Diceros bicornis minor: one gene and its partner. The protein of the gene in region 1 interacts with the protein of each later gene in a biochemical or structural test. Links are inferred from orthologs where the notes say so. Each region holds a gene or a part of one and is shown on either strand. Other genes may lie near its edges.

Region 1 (7,766 bases):
GTTTAATAGGTGGTTATGCAATTTTTATACTGAAACTTTCCTCTGATGATAAAAAAGTACCACAAGTTAGAATAAGTCCTCTAATAGAAACATTTTAAATGGCTATTACTGCACTTTATCAGATCTATTACAAATTTTAGACAGGGATGAATAGTCACTATGCTGAAGTGCTACAATAGATATTAACCCCATGGGTTTTACAGCCTTTCAAAGGAGTTCAGCCAACTCTATTTCACACTGCATTGCAGTTGTAAGCACTAGCCATTTTCACTATTAACAATTTATTTGGCCTTTTCAGACGTTAACAACTTGAAATATCTTTAAGAGAACAGTTTCTAGAATCTTGATGGTCTAATCTCATCCCTCTAAAAATAAAAATTATAAATGGACCCCTTGCCCACCTTACTTAAAGCACAAGTTCTGAAGCAAGGGAGTAAAAAGTGAAGTGTCCAGTAAAGCTTTTCCCACATGCCATTTAACCCAGTCACTGTCCCTATGGTATCACCTGCGCTCCCTTCACCAGTTCTGGGAGCCAGCCAGAGGGAGAGGAGTCAAGGAAATGAAGGTCAGGAGAGAAAGGGCCTTATGCTCTGCCTCCATAGTGGATGCTCCTAGGATATGTGGATCTGATTTACTGATGACCTCGTCTGCCCTCAAACTCCAAAGTAATATGAGGGTAATGAACAATACTTACCTCTTACTTTGGTACCCTCATTTTAAGCAAATGCTCTTTTTTAAAGATCAGATAACAGTAAAAGAGAAGAAAATTATGGGTCACTATTATTTAACTGACAAATGGGATTCGGGATTAAATCATAATTTTAGCAATATAAAATCCATGCATATTTGTCCTTTAATATTTCCAGAAGGTTATACTATTATTATAATCACTAGAATCAGCAGTCTCTCAACACCCAGTACTTAAAGGCTAAAAGTCCAATTGCTCCTTTCCCATTACTTTTTTCTGTTCCCTTATTTGTGTTAAAATGCAATTACTTAGGGAAGAGTGGTGGTGAGGAGTAGATACAAAAGCTAAGATAAGATGTAGGTAGCACTGACTGCTGTCTACACCGCTCTCTCAGGATGGAGTTTATGTCATGTGGCACAGTGGGAAAGAGCACAGTATCTGGAGCCAAACAGATTAGGGTTCTCATTATGGCTCAGCTGCTTGCTGGATGTGGAACTTCGCACAAAACACTTAATCATTTTGAGCTTCAATTATCACATCTGTAAAAGGATAATTCCCACTTTGTAAAGTTGTTGTGAAGATTAGACTTAACAGACCTAAAACACTTGTTAGAGCTCCAGACATAGGATGTGCCCACATATGCCTTTCCGTCTCCGTTCGTAGCTTACCCAGGGGGTATGCAGCAGACGCACACACAAGACAGCCACTAGAAGATGCAAGGAATGGCTTTTCTTTTGAAGCAGTTCGCTCATCCACACACATCTCACAGGCTACATTTTCACCTTATCCTCTACTCACCTCTGACTGACTCATCTACGATGTAGCCAGATATGTGTGGTTCGTTATCATACTCTTCTGCATAGTCATAGTCGATCCCCAGGGACAGTTCGCTACCAGAAGGCGTTTCACTCACAGGGGAAATCTTGCTTCCTGGGGTCACCTCAAATCCATCAGCACTGCGGTCCCCGGAAGATGGTTCCCCTTTCCCAGAGTAAGTGTCATTGACGTCCAATCCAGCAGCAAAATGGGCTGTGGGAGAAAAAAGAAGAGAAAAACAGAAAAGGTAAAGCAGAGAGCCTTTCTCATCAGCCAGCTGAGTTCAGGAGAAATATTTACCTTCTGATATCAAAGCAGCTATTGCACATGTGCTATTGTTTGTGATTGAGTCACTTACGAAAGCAACTCCACACTTTGCCAAGGAGCAAACTCAGCTGTTCCAATTACAGAGCTTCTTTCATCAAGGTTTCTTTTCCACAGATAGTCTACATTAATTTCCACATCAAACAAACAAAAAAAAAAACTGCCAAATAGGCAAATTAATATAATTATTTAACAGGTAATGTCTAAATATTCCCATCACTTCACATATCAAATGCATTTGTGTTTTCTAGAATGCTACCTGTCCCATTTTAGTAGACAGGTTCTAGATATAAGTATCAGATTTTCTTAACACGTGCTCACGTTTTAAAAAGATTACATATATAAAATGTAAAACGTAATGTAAATGGTAGTTGATAAGACTGATTCTTATTGCCACTGTTTCGCTATCATTGTTCTGACATACAGAAGAAGCCAGGGACTAGGTAAGATCTGGGGCCCAGAGTTTCAAGCCCCTGTTTTATCTTTGAGGTCTCACTAAAGCAGCCTCAGATCGGTGCTTCTAACTTCTCCCTGGGACACTGTGAGGCCCTCCAGGAAGGCAAAGACAAGATCACTAGACAGAGGAGATGGAGAATTTAGGCAGGAGGCAGCACTGCTGGGTCCAGGACTCAATTCCTCTGCTCTAAGATCTGCGGGAATCACTTTGCCCCTCTGAATCTCGGTTTCTTTTTCTGTAAAACGAAGGGTTTGGATCACAGGATCTCTCAACTCTCCTCCAGCTGGATTAAAGTACAAGTACAGGGATTCTCCCGGCACCCTCCTCCTGGACTGGAACGTCTGAGACACCTACCCGTTTTTCTCTTTCTCCCAGTGAGTAACAGGGAGATACCCTGATCACCCCCCGTCCCCCGCGGGACAGAGTTAGGGGCGCCAAAAGGCGTTTTTTTGTTTTTTGTGTATGGTGTTTTAGGAGAAGCAGCAGCAACATTCAAGAGGCGCCAGCTTCTGCCCGCCGTGGGAGAAGCGCCGCGCAGCTCAGAGCGGGGATGTCCTCACCTGAGCGGAGGATCAAGAGCCACAGCACCACCGGCGCCGGCGGCAGCAGCGGGGCTCTCATTGGTCCCTCGGCGCGGCGGCGTCGCGGTCTCTGGGGCAACTCGGCCGGAGCTGCGGGCTGGAGGAGGAGGGGGTGGGAGAGAGGGGACGAGGCGGGGTGTGCGGCTCTGCCCGCAGGCCAGGCCGGGCGCGGGCTGCAGCCCCTGGAGCTCGCCTCCGATCTCTCGGTTCCGACCCGGGCGCAGGCACAAGGTGTGCGAACATTCCGGAGGCGCGGCGCGCACCTGCCGCTTTATAGGCCGGGAGGGGACGAGGCATCGCCCGCGACGTCACGGCCGCCGCGGAGGGTGGAGGCGGGCGGCCGCCCTAGAAGAGGTTACTACCCCAAAACCACACACGGACGGCGGCCGCCCCACCCCCGCGAGCCTACAGAGCCGCTGGGAGGAGATGAAAGTCAAACCCCTCGCTGCGAGCCGGAGAAAGACCCGATCCATAATCGAGGGCGGGGGTGGAGTTGGGGAGCTCCCATCTATCTGACAGGTGCAAGTCTCAGTTTTTCAAACTATCTGAAAAAGCTTGGTATACGCTTTGGTTGATCTTAATATTATAACAGGGATTAAATAGAAAAGTTCCATATTGAGATGTAAAAGTACTTTAGGACCAAGAGTGACCTAACAATGACAGCCAGACGTGTTTAACAAAGGTAAATGAAGTTCATTAAATGACTAGAGAGAGCGCCTCCTAATGAGGAGCTGCTTTGTTTGTGATGGGAGATATCTCACCCAAGGGCTCTTTCGCACCCACTGCTGTGAAGTGGCCAGAATTTCAAACCACCTCCCTCCCCATTTCTTTATGTGGCCCAGGGATCTCATCAAAATTTATGTTTGTTGACCACTTATTACTGGCAAACTGTACACTAAAAATATTACCTACACCATCTCACTCAAAAACCTTTCCGGGTAAGCATCATTTTCTCTATTTTACAGGGAGGACAAATGGCAGCTTTACAAAGCAAGGAGGACTTTACACAGCTGGTCATGGTAGAAGCCAGATGGATTTAAATTAATCTGACTCTGAAGTCTCTCTCCTCTCTCATAAAGGAATTTAGACTAAACTAATCTTTAAAAAGAGAGTTTGTGGAGAGAACAATACTTAGCCTCCTAAAGGAGTAGTCTTGACTGGTAGCATATTGGCATTTGGATGAAGGGCGGTGCCCAAGCTTGTGCCTCTCAAATCCCGAGATAAAAGGACGAGCTTCGATGGCCTATTTAGAACCTAGTAGGGTATTTAATCATGACAAGTAGATAAAATGAAGAGGGAAGGAGGCAGCTGCTTAATTTGACTTAACTTTGATGCAGAGACGACTCTAGAACTGGATTTTTCTTGCCTTAAGAGAAAAAAGCATTGTTCTAAGTGTTTTCTTGTCCTGAGGATACATATCTCTTCTCTGATTGTTCTAGTGAAACAGACTTTTTAGGAATGTGGGTCATAGTGCATTTGTCCTAATTCTGGGAAACTTTTCTAAAGCTACTTACTTTTTATTGCCATATCGTAGTGAGTAGGCTAAATAATACCGTACATTTAGGACGATGAAATAAGCAGTCATGAATCATGCCTTCTCTCCTATTTGACATTTGTTGAGAGCACATTTTGTGTAATCCACTTGTTTTGTTTATTTTACTGCAGGGGGGCAGTAAAGAGGAAGATTAAATGATGACCAGCTCTTTGCTCTCCAAAGCTCAGTATGGTGTGGGCCAGACACATAGAAAAGTAATTCTGGTAGATTAGATGACAAGAAGCATTCAGAATGCTGTGGAAAACAAGGATGCAGTTTAATCGTGCCCATGCATATCACAGAAAGCTTTGTGGAAAGGTAAGAGAGGCCGCTCAATGGCCATCCCAGCAGAAAGTTTAAATGGAAAGAAAACCTGATGACAAGATGTAACCGAAAATGGAAAATAAGGCTAGAAAAATGGCACTGCCCATTCCAGGGTGAAACAGGGGCCTGCATTGTCATCTTTTTTGGTGGATGAGGCGATTGTGATTCAGAGACATTCAGAGCCTTGCCCACAGATTTCAAAAGATGGTGGAGATTTTGTTTAGAGTCCAAGCTGTCAGCCTAAATGGTCGCACCTTTCTGTTCTCATAGGTTTCGATTTTGTTTTAGTCCTGTTCTTCCCTTTCTCTTACTCTTTCTTCATATTGCAAGTAAGTGTGAGTTGTGCATATCTGTCATCAGAAATGTTTTACTTTGTTTGAAGTAAGTGGGCTCTTTACATTGGAAATTGCTTGGTCTTTTTCCCATTGGAAATGTAGAGGGTGATAATTTATGTTGGTGTGGAATATAACATAGCATCATAGGGGCAGAATAGCTAGTGCTTGGTATGAGCTTTAGATTCAACCAATTGGGTTTTCATATACAAATTCTACCAGATACTACGTTACGTAATATTTGAAAGACTCAGATTCCTCATCTGAAAATAGGAATAAAGATACCTACCTGCTGTTAAGCAGATCAAATGAAATAAGATACATATACAAGTAGCACATATCCTAGCATATGGTGAGTGCTCAATAAATGGTTTGGTAACTATTATTATTAATGTTGACATTATAATATTTACATTATATTAATCACATTGAAGAACTAAGTGACACTTACAAATGGAGCTTCTCACAGAGCAAGTGAAATAATCTCCTTCAATATTTTCAAGCCATGAACTTTGTACCTACTTCCCATTAAGACTAACCATTTTGAACATTTTATGGTGCATCATAGGGTAACATGGGGCGTCATCACAATTGCATCACAATGGCAGCACCCCTTGATGACTCATGGCATTCTGGCATATATGCATGAGAAGGAAATCAACCCTGTGTAAATGTGGGATTCTTTACATTCTGCATGCTAAGGTGAGATGAGGAGGAAAAATTTTAAGAAATTCAAGAAGAAAAGCAGCTCTTCTTTACCCTGATAAATCGGTGGTTTCCTCACCAAGTGTAAGGTTAAGGGCAGCCCTACGGGCAAATGGTCCTAGCCAACCATTCCTTTTGGTGCCTAGTATCTGGATCCTGATAATATTTTATATGTATAGTGGAAACAAACTCACTTTGACTCAGCTAAATGGTGTGCTATAGAACCAAAAGTATAATTATGTGTTTCTTCATATAATTGAGTTTTTACAGATAGTGCCAGGGTCTGAGTAAGTATTATATCATGGGCATTTTTATGAGTCAACACACGAACCCCTAAACTAAAATTAAGAAATTCTCTAGGAGCTGGCTTGGTGGCGTAGGGGTTAAGTTCATGTGCTCAGCTTCAGCGGCCTAGGTTCGTGGATTCAGATCCCCAGCATGGACCTACACACAGCTCGTCAAGCCATGCTGTGGTAGCATCCCACATACAAAATAGAGGAAGACTGGCACAGGTGTTAGCTCAGGGCCAATCTTCCTCACAAAAAAAAAAAAGAAAGAAAGAAATTCTCTAATGTATAAGTAACATATTCTGTATTATTAACAGATGCATTAGCTCCATTTAGATGTCCATAATTTTCTACTTTTCACCTTGGAATGTATCCATGCTAAAGAATATACAATTTCTAGTTCCTTCAAAAAGACACCATAAATGACCTTGACTGTTGGGTGCCTTGACATACTAGTAAAATCAAATTACTTGCTCTTTATAGCATTAACATGATGGCTTTTGCAGAGCAAGGACTAGCAGATGGGACTGAAGGCAGTTGATGATTTGATGATGTGAAGGCAGTGATGATTTACAATGGAAGCTAAGTAAATGTCATATAAAATTAACTACATTTACACAAAAAACTGAATCCTCTAGGTAGTTTGTTTTCTCATCAAATATGTCTCGAGAACTAGATACTCTCCTAGGCACTGTGAATATAACTTTGAATAAGTCATAATGTCCTTGTTTTTAAGGACCTTACTTTCTATCAAAGGGAAACACGTAATAAACAAGGAAACAATGCACAAAATAATCTTAGGTAGTGAGAAGTGCTGGAAAGGAAATAAAATATGGATATACAGGACTTGGGAGGGTGGAAGAAGATGATAAAAAGAAATACAAGATAGACCCTACACTTAAGTAGTTCACAGTTTCTCTCTAGAGGAAACAGAAGGCAGGATAAAACAGAGAGGGTTATCCTATTGAACAATAATAACAGTGTAGAAGAGCAGAGAGAGGCATGGATGGGAATGAGGGAGGGATAGAGATAGGCATAGACAAGAATGAGGGATGCTGAACAGACAGAGGCATTGAATTGGGCCTTAAAAATGTGGAGGATTCTAGGACATTGTAGAAGAATTCATTCCACTAATCATTTCTCAAATACCCTTCTTAGCACTGCCAGCTCTTAGCTAAAGGTCAGCTGATCAGAATCACCAGGGAATGTTTCCAAAATGTACCCTCCATTCTCCTCTCTTGATTCAAGTTTGGTGTGGGATCCAGGCCTGTGTATTTTTTTTTAAAAACTTTCAAGAAAATTCTGACGTGCATCTCTGATTAAGAACTACTCCACTGGGGGATACATGGATGAAAAAAATCAAGGTATCTTCAGAGAGATTATAAACTGGTGGGGCTGCACATTCATGTAGGTAGAATTTTTGTTGGAAATGTGAAGGATGGAGAAATGAATTTCAACAGGAAGCATGTAAGTGTGATGAAGACATTTATTTACCCTCTAAGAAACTCATGTTACAAACTGATTCAAATACTATGCCTTTAAATAGGGAACTGCTTTAGTGTAATAAAAATATGTCTGAATATATGAAAAAGAAGAAATCTACTTTGCATGTAGTTCTTCAGGAACCAATTTGTCACATAAGTGGAATCATATGAACACCAAATTCTTATGGATCCTCACTAACTCCATTCTGAATGTAAGGTCAGAAAACAGGGTGT
Region 2 (6,851 bases), on another chromosome or scaffold:
ATTCCAGACCCCAACGAGGAGTAGATGTGACCTTCAATTGCATTCCAGCTTCAGTTATAGGTCTCGCCAGAGGCAAAGTCGGAGAGTGGGGAGTGGGGAGTGGGCTTGCTAAGATCTCACATCCGGGGCATTCCAAGCCTCTGGGGGTCCCTTTCTCCCTGCCTTCGGCCCCATCAGAGTCAACTCTATCACACACAAACACACACATGCACACACACGTGCGCACACACCCCCTCAGTCACCCCCACGTCCCTCTCCCACCTTCACTTGTCTGCTGTCCACAAAACTGCAGCTCAACACCCAATGCTCCCCACTTCCACCCCGACATATTTCTCAGCCCCCACCACACGACCCCAGAATCTCTCAGACCATCAGCCTCAAAGCTTCCAAGAATCTTTATTGAACTTGCTCTGCATCACAAACCCATCTGGAGGAGCCAGGGTGAGGCACCGTGCCCACTGCCAAAAGGGAAGACCCCAGCTGGCAGGCCCCCCCACCCACATCGGAGGAGCCTTCATTTCTTCCGGGGCTGCTTATCAGGGAAGCCTTCAAAGAACTCGTTGCACATCATGGCAATGCAGGACAGGAAGACACAGTACTCCTGGAAGTCCACCTCGTTGTCCTTGTTGCTGTCCAAGTTGCTCATCAGCTTCTGGAATGCGGCTTCATCCGTCCTTTTCTGGAGGGGGAAGAGGATACAGGTGGACACTAGCAGCCTGGGAGTGGAGCCAAGACTAGACAAGGTTTCCATCTCCAGATCAGAGCTCAGGAAAGTGTAGCCACTCCTCGGGGGCAGTTTTGGAAGTCCAGCCCTCAGGGCTAAACTAGGGTGGGAGGAGGTTTACCCCTCAGATGAGGAACCCTGAGTGCCTGGGTGCAGCTGGAGAAGGAGACCACAATGTCTTCCCTCAGGGTTAAATTAAGAATCCAATTAGACAATGGTCATGAAAGCAATATATAAACTGCATAAAGTTTGATACAGATGGAAGCTGTGATTGCTCTGGGGAAGTCTGTAGACATGTGAGTGTCTCCATAACTGCGTCTTCACATCCACAAGCCAAATAGAAACTCAAAAATTGTTCATGGCTGCGGTGACGGCAAGAGGCGGACCGTCCTGGTTTGCCGGTCTCAGCTGTGCACACTGACTACCCTGGGAAATTACTTAACCTCTCTGAGCCTTAAATTCCCTTCAGTTAAGTTGTGCAAAGCACTCGGCAGAGTGTCTGGCCCGTAACCTACCTGTTCATTCTCAGCCCTCTCTCCGCTGAGGGCCAGGAAGTGAGTGGTGGGTGCTTGCCATGTTTCCACCTCAGGCAGCCATAGCAAGCTCTGCTCCCACTTCCCCATCTCAGTGACAGATGCCAACTACAGCTACCGCTCTGCAAAAAGGCTGGTGCCTCCCAGGGCCTGGCCCTCCTCTGTGGGGAATGCTCCACATGGGGCATGGTCCCAGGCAGTAGCCACTCACCCCCAAGAAACTGGGCAGCTCCCGGGTCAGCAGCTCCTTTAGCTCTGACTTGTTGAGCTTGAACTTGTCACCCTCCTTGCCCGAGTACTTGTGGAAGGTGGACACCATCACATCCAGGGCCTTCTCCAGGGGGTACGCCATGGTGGCAGTCGGGATCTGGGGGCAGAGTCACAGAGACACCCTTATCTTCCCGACCCCCACCCCCAGCCATGTATTCAGAATGCCTCACCCCACTCCCATCCCTCCAGGAACACTTGGTGAGACCCTGCTTCCACCACAGGGGGAGCCCGGAAAGGTGGGGCTCAGCTGCTGGCTGGGAGAGTATGCACAGTGGGAAATGCGAGCTTCGGGCAGTGAACATTTGCAGGGCCACTGCGCAGGCTCTGGGTTTCAGGCAGCAAGCTCCCGGTGCCTCCCCCAGGCCATGCCTCCACGACATCGCTTTTTCCATCCCTTATTCAGTCCATTCACTCCCACAGCTCAGCCCACAGCAGCCCCACCCAGGCCAATCCTTCTCCCTCCCAGCACTGGGCAAGGCTGCTGGAGGCCTGCCCAGGGGCCTGCAGCGGAAAAAAACAGCGGCCTAGCGCCTAGCCTAGCGTAGGGAGGGGCAGGGTGAGGTGGCAGAGGCAGGGATACAGGGAAGGGGTGGGACGGCCAAGCTCCCTTGGGCTGGGCTGCTGGGTGCAGGGCAGAGGCTCACAGGACACCACCAGACAAAAGCCCACAGTCACCTTCTGCCTTCATTTTGCCTCCCACACCCAAGGGTGCACACCGGCTTGTGCAACCCAGCAAACACAAACCAGTGTGCATACCCACAGGTCACACGCACACCACAACATGCTACAACAATAGCACGTGCAAACCCCAGCATCTCAGTGCCACTCGGACAGCTCAAATCCAGCCACCTGCACACATTTCTGTTTTTTCTGTCTTGCACGTGCACATATGTGTGCACATGCGAACACACGCACACATGCACACACACACATCCCACCCTAGAGCCTCCACATCAGAATCTCACATCTGGACCCATTTAGCACATCTGCCCCCCACCAGTCCCCACTTCTGCCCTGAGCCTCAGCCTGACCCCCCTTACGTGCCAGTCAGGCAACCACAACTCACCAGGCCAAGAGAGAGGAAGCACTGAGGACAGAGGGTTGGGGAGAGAGGAAGAGTGGGGAAAGCCCAGCTGTCTGACCTATTTATACCCCAGCCAGGCCCTGCCCATGATAGAGGATGGGGGAGAGTGAAAGACAGCCCTCCTGCTGTGGGCTGATGTGGTTTAGGCGCTGCGGCCCCCTCCACCAGCCCAGCCTGGAAACCCAGCTTCCTGCCTCAGGGTGGCACAGATACAGATGGACAATGGGAGAGCCCCAGTGGGCACAGGTGGGGGCCTCAGTGGAGTGGGCAACCCCCCAGTGAGCACAGCTCAGCCTGAGTTTTAGGGAGCTGGAGGAAGGGGCAGTCTGTGCCTGGGGTGGGGGACAGGGAGGGAGTGGTCCCAGCCGGCAGCTTGGAAAGGGGATCCAGGGGTCGTGAGTGACAGGTGGGACATTGCCCTGGAAATGTGGCTGCCCAGAAACTAAGGGAGGGGACCTCAGGCTCAGTGCTGTGGGACGACTCACTCTGCCCTTCTCCCCTCCCTAGAGTGCTCTCTGCTGTGCTGAGTGAAGCCCAGGGGGGGCCTGGGGGCTCTGGGAGAGGGATCAGGCTAACACCCAAAGGAGACGCTGGGACCAGCCAGGCATGTCAGTGGAGAAAGGTCCTGGATGAGGGAGTGATGGAGTGGAGAGTGGGAGTCCTCGGGGGAGGCTCAGGGAAGGGCTGGCTGAAGGTACCGAGAGAGGTGGGAGGGGTAGAGCGTCAGGAGGGGGAGCTTGGAGCTGGGATGGGTGTCAGGAATGAAGAATGCAGGTTGACGTGGAAAGTTAGAGGTGAAATCACACAAAATGGGGGAGGCAGGGATCAGGGTTAACCTCTCAGGGTGGGGTATGAACTCAGGGATTGAGTGAGGGTCAGAAGTGGGAGGTGAAGGCCCTCAGGTGGCTGTGGCTTCAGGGATGGGGTCTGCCTCAAGTTTTCTCCTTCCCCCTCCCTGGGTGGGAGCAACACCCTGATCAGACCTCAGACATGCTAATCCTATTAGTGCTGCGCTCTGGGCTCCCTCAGCCCTGGGCAGGAACAAACCCACCCCACACCCACGGCCCCACCCTCCTGCTCAGAACATCCTGTCACGAGGACTGAGCTCCACCCCAGGGAACCTCAGGCTGCCTCTCGCCCTCCTTGACAGCCCAAGGGAGCTTCTTCTTCAAAAACCCCAGAGAGAGAGAGAGAGACCCCCCAGCCTCCCCTGGATGTTGTCCTTGTGTTGACCCCACCCCCTTTTGCTGGCCGATTGAGACCATTTCATTTCTGCATGGTCTGAAACTGCCCTCAGCCTCCTGTCCTCCCGTGGAAAAGGCCAGAGAGGAATGAAGACTTCAGCAGGACTCTGACTCGAGGCCCCAGCTGTTATCGCAGAAGAACCAAACCAAGCCAAGTGCCACCAGTTCTTTATTAGGAGTTCAATAGGCCCTTTCCTGGCGTGGTCTCATTCATGCGCACACTCCGCTGGTCCTTAACAGCCTCAAACCCATCACAGGCCACGGGAGGGAGGCAGCAGCTGGCTGCTCTACCCGTCACTAGCTGTGATCCTGGGGAAGGTCCCCTCACGTCTCCTGGCTTCCTGGGTAAAATGGGTTAACATATTAGGGGCAAACCTGGGAGATTCCAAGTGGAGAGGGAACAGGAGTGGGGTGGGGAGTGGATGACATGCCCAGGACCACCTCAGGGCAGAGATGGAGCAGGCCCCAGCAGACGCCTGCCTGCTGGCCAGCCCTGCCCACTGGAGCAGAGGCTACTAAGAGCAGGGAGGCTCTGGGGGGCAGTCCTTGAAGTAGTCATGGCAGTAGGTGCAGAGGCAGGCAAGCGAGCGCACGTATTCCTCAAAGTCCACCTCGCAGTCCCTGTTGGTGTCCAGAACACTCATGAATTTATTGTAGTCACACTCCCGAAACTCCGTCTGTGCAGGGAGCAGGGAGAGGGGTGTGAGGAGGCAGGTTGAGGAGGGCACAACAACCTCGTGCACGCATAGGTGCACTGCTTCCCTCCCACCCTCTCCCCTCCTGGTTGGTCTCACCCATCCCAACCCACGCCCCTTCTGGGGGCCAACCTCAGCCTACCTATTCTGATAACTCACCCATGTCAATCCTACTCCCCAATCCTCCTTCTCAGATCATTTATTGAGCACCTACTATTTGCTCCTGAGTGCCTACTATGTGCTAGACATTCTTCACCTCGATCTCACTCATCCTTCCGACAACCCTGCAATGCAGCAGGGTGATGACTGTCATCCCATTTTACAGATGAGGAAACTGAGATACCTGCTGTGACAGCTCTCTCCCAGAGTCCCGGCCCCACAGTCCAGCCTCCACCCCTCTTGCTGCCCTGTGCGCAGAGTTCGTCCCCAGGTCTCTCTTTGTGGAGTCCAAGCAGTGCTTCCCCGTGGGGTGGGCACCCCAGTGCTCACCGGGGTCCAGGTGGGCAGCTCCTTCTGTATCAGCTCCTTGAGCTCCGCCTGGCAGAGCTTGTGTTTGTCCCCGCAGCGCCCCACATACTCCTGGAAGGTGCACACGATGGCAGCCACTGCCTGCTCCAGAGGCCTGGCCATCCTCACTGTCACAGAACAAGGGTGCGACTCACAGCAGAGGCCCCAGCCACCCCTCTGCTCACCTCTGCCCTCCGTGTTTCCCAGGACTGCTCCAGACCTGTCTCAGTCTCTGCCAGGCTTCTAGTCCCACAAGCTCTCCTCCTCTGAGCAGCCCTCCCTGACCACCCCCACCTCTCCTAATTTATTTCTCTACTGTCGCCCGTTATGATTTTCCTGGACATTTCCCCAACATCACTACAAAGCCCTCAGGAAGAGTGCCCCCCCCCACAACCTGCACCCCCCACACCGGGGATCCCTCAGGACTCCCTGATTCCCTCCACCTTTTCTCATCCCTGACACCCAGGAGGGCTCAGTCCCACTTTGCAACCCCCCGTAAGATACAGCACCCTGGTCCTAGAAGCCTCCTCCCCTTTAGGACCGCAGAGCTCCTTCTGTAGGAATTTGTTCGAGGAGAACCCTGGTCCGTCCGTGTCCTCAGGTGCATGGAGAAGCTGGGCATTCTCAGGGAGCATCAGTAGGAGAGCAACCCCCATCACCTCACCACCACCCCCTCACGGTCCCTCCTTCCCCAAACTCAGGGAAGCTGCGTCCAAAAGAGAAACTTCTGGGGTCCTCTCTGCCTCTCACCAGCTGTGCAACCCCAGATGAGCCATTTACCCTCTCTGGGTCTCAGGTGCCTTATCTGTAAAATGGGGCTAATCCCACCTCATAGGCCTCATCAGGGACCTCAGCAAGACAGCTGGCTCTGGTATTTACCAATCTGTGATCTGCCCCACCTGAGGCCATCCCCCTGACTCTTGGGGGTCTTGGGACAGAAGGCTCTGCAAAGATGTACCCTGTTCTGTTAGAGGGGAAGCCCTTCTTGAAATTGCCAACCCCCCAATTCCACTGGCACCCCCCTTTGCCCTTTTGGAAGGATGCCTCCAGCTTGGGAAAACCCTAAGGCAGCCAGGAAGGCAAGTGTGGTTTCCATGTGAGCCCAGTGACTCACTCCTTATTCCCCCAGGGTTAGGAGTCCTGCAGTGTAAGGCTGCCAGGGCCATGGCTCTCTCCCTAACGCTTCCCCCTCTGCTGGGACCTATGGAGCAAATGGCCAGCCGGGTTGTGTCTAGGGGGTGGGGAGATAGGAGGAAGGGGGTGATGGAGCCAAGCACTGTCTGAGATCTAACTGTGACAGCCCAGGGTTGGAACTGGGTGTCTGGGGTCCCAGGAGAGGAAAGGGCCATGATCCCAGGGAATAAGGAACCTCAGAGGTGCCCAGCTGCCCTTCTGGGCTCCTGCCAGCCTGCCTGGCGCCATCGTTGTTGCTTTTTCAGAAGCTTGCTGCCTGGAGACTGGAGGGAATCCTCTCTTCCCCACGCAGCCCTGGCCTGTCTCAACCCGTTGGCAGGAATGAAGGAAGGAGGCAGAGGGGAGGGACAGGGAGCTAACCGAGGCTAACACCAGCGCTTTTAGCCCACGGCCCCACCCCAGGGCCAGACTTCAGCTCTGCACACCCCCTAACCCAAACTTCCCGATAGCCCCTCACTGTACAAGGGAACACCTCACCTCATCAGTCCCTGCTGTGGTCATCCCTCTGCCCCCATGCCCAGACCCTGGGCCAGGAGACAACCCTAAGCTGCCCAACACCCAGTCCAGGGCAAGACCCAGCTGGCACTCACCACTTTGCTG

What was found.
Region 2: the proteins of AREG (region 1) and S100A4 form a complex in vitro, tested with the Homo sapiens proteins (2 studies listed by IntAct, with this or other methods). The link is inferred for Diceros bicornis minor from reciprocal best matches to the Homo sapiens genes AREG and S100A4.

The regions. Positions count from the first base shown.
Region 1 is NC_080747.1:60,207,103-60,214,868, reverse strand, and holds the start of AREG (amphiregulin), read right to left. Parts: upstream 3,014-7,766; 5' UTR 2,907-3,013; coding exon 2,846-2,906; intron 1,718-2,845; coding exon 1,487-1,717; intron 1-1,486.
Region 2 is NC_080743.1:57,785,134-57,791,984, forward strand, and holds S100A4 (protein S100-A4), read right to left. Parts: upstream 2,700-6,851; 5' UTR 2,594-2,699; intron 1,625-2,593; 5' UTR 1,610-1,624; coding exon 1,469-1,609; intron 680-1,468; coding exon 515-679; 3' UTR 511-514; downstream 1-510. Other genes in the region: S100A3 (protein S100-A3), read right to left, coding at 4,371-4,532, 5,040-5,180. UniProt on the Homo sapiens protein: Calcium-binding protein that plays a role in various cellular processes including motility, angiogenesis, cell differentiation, apoptosis, and autophagy.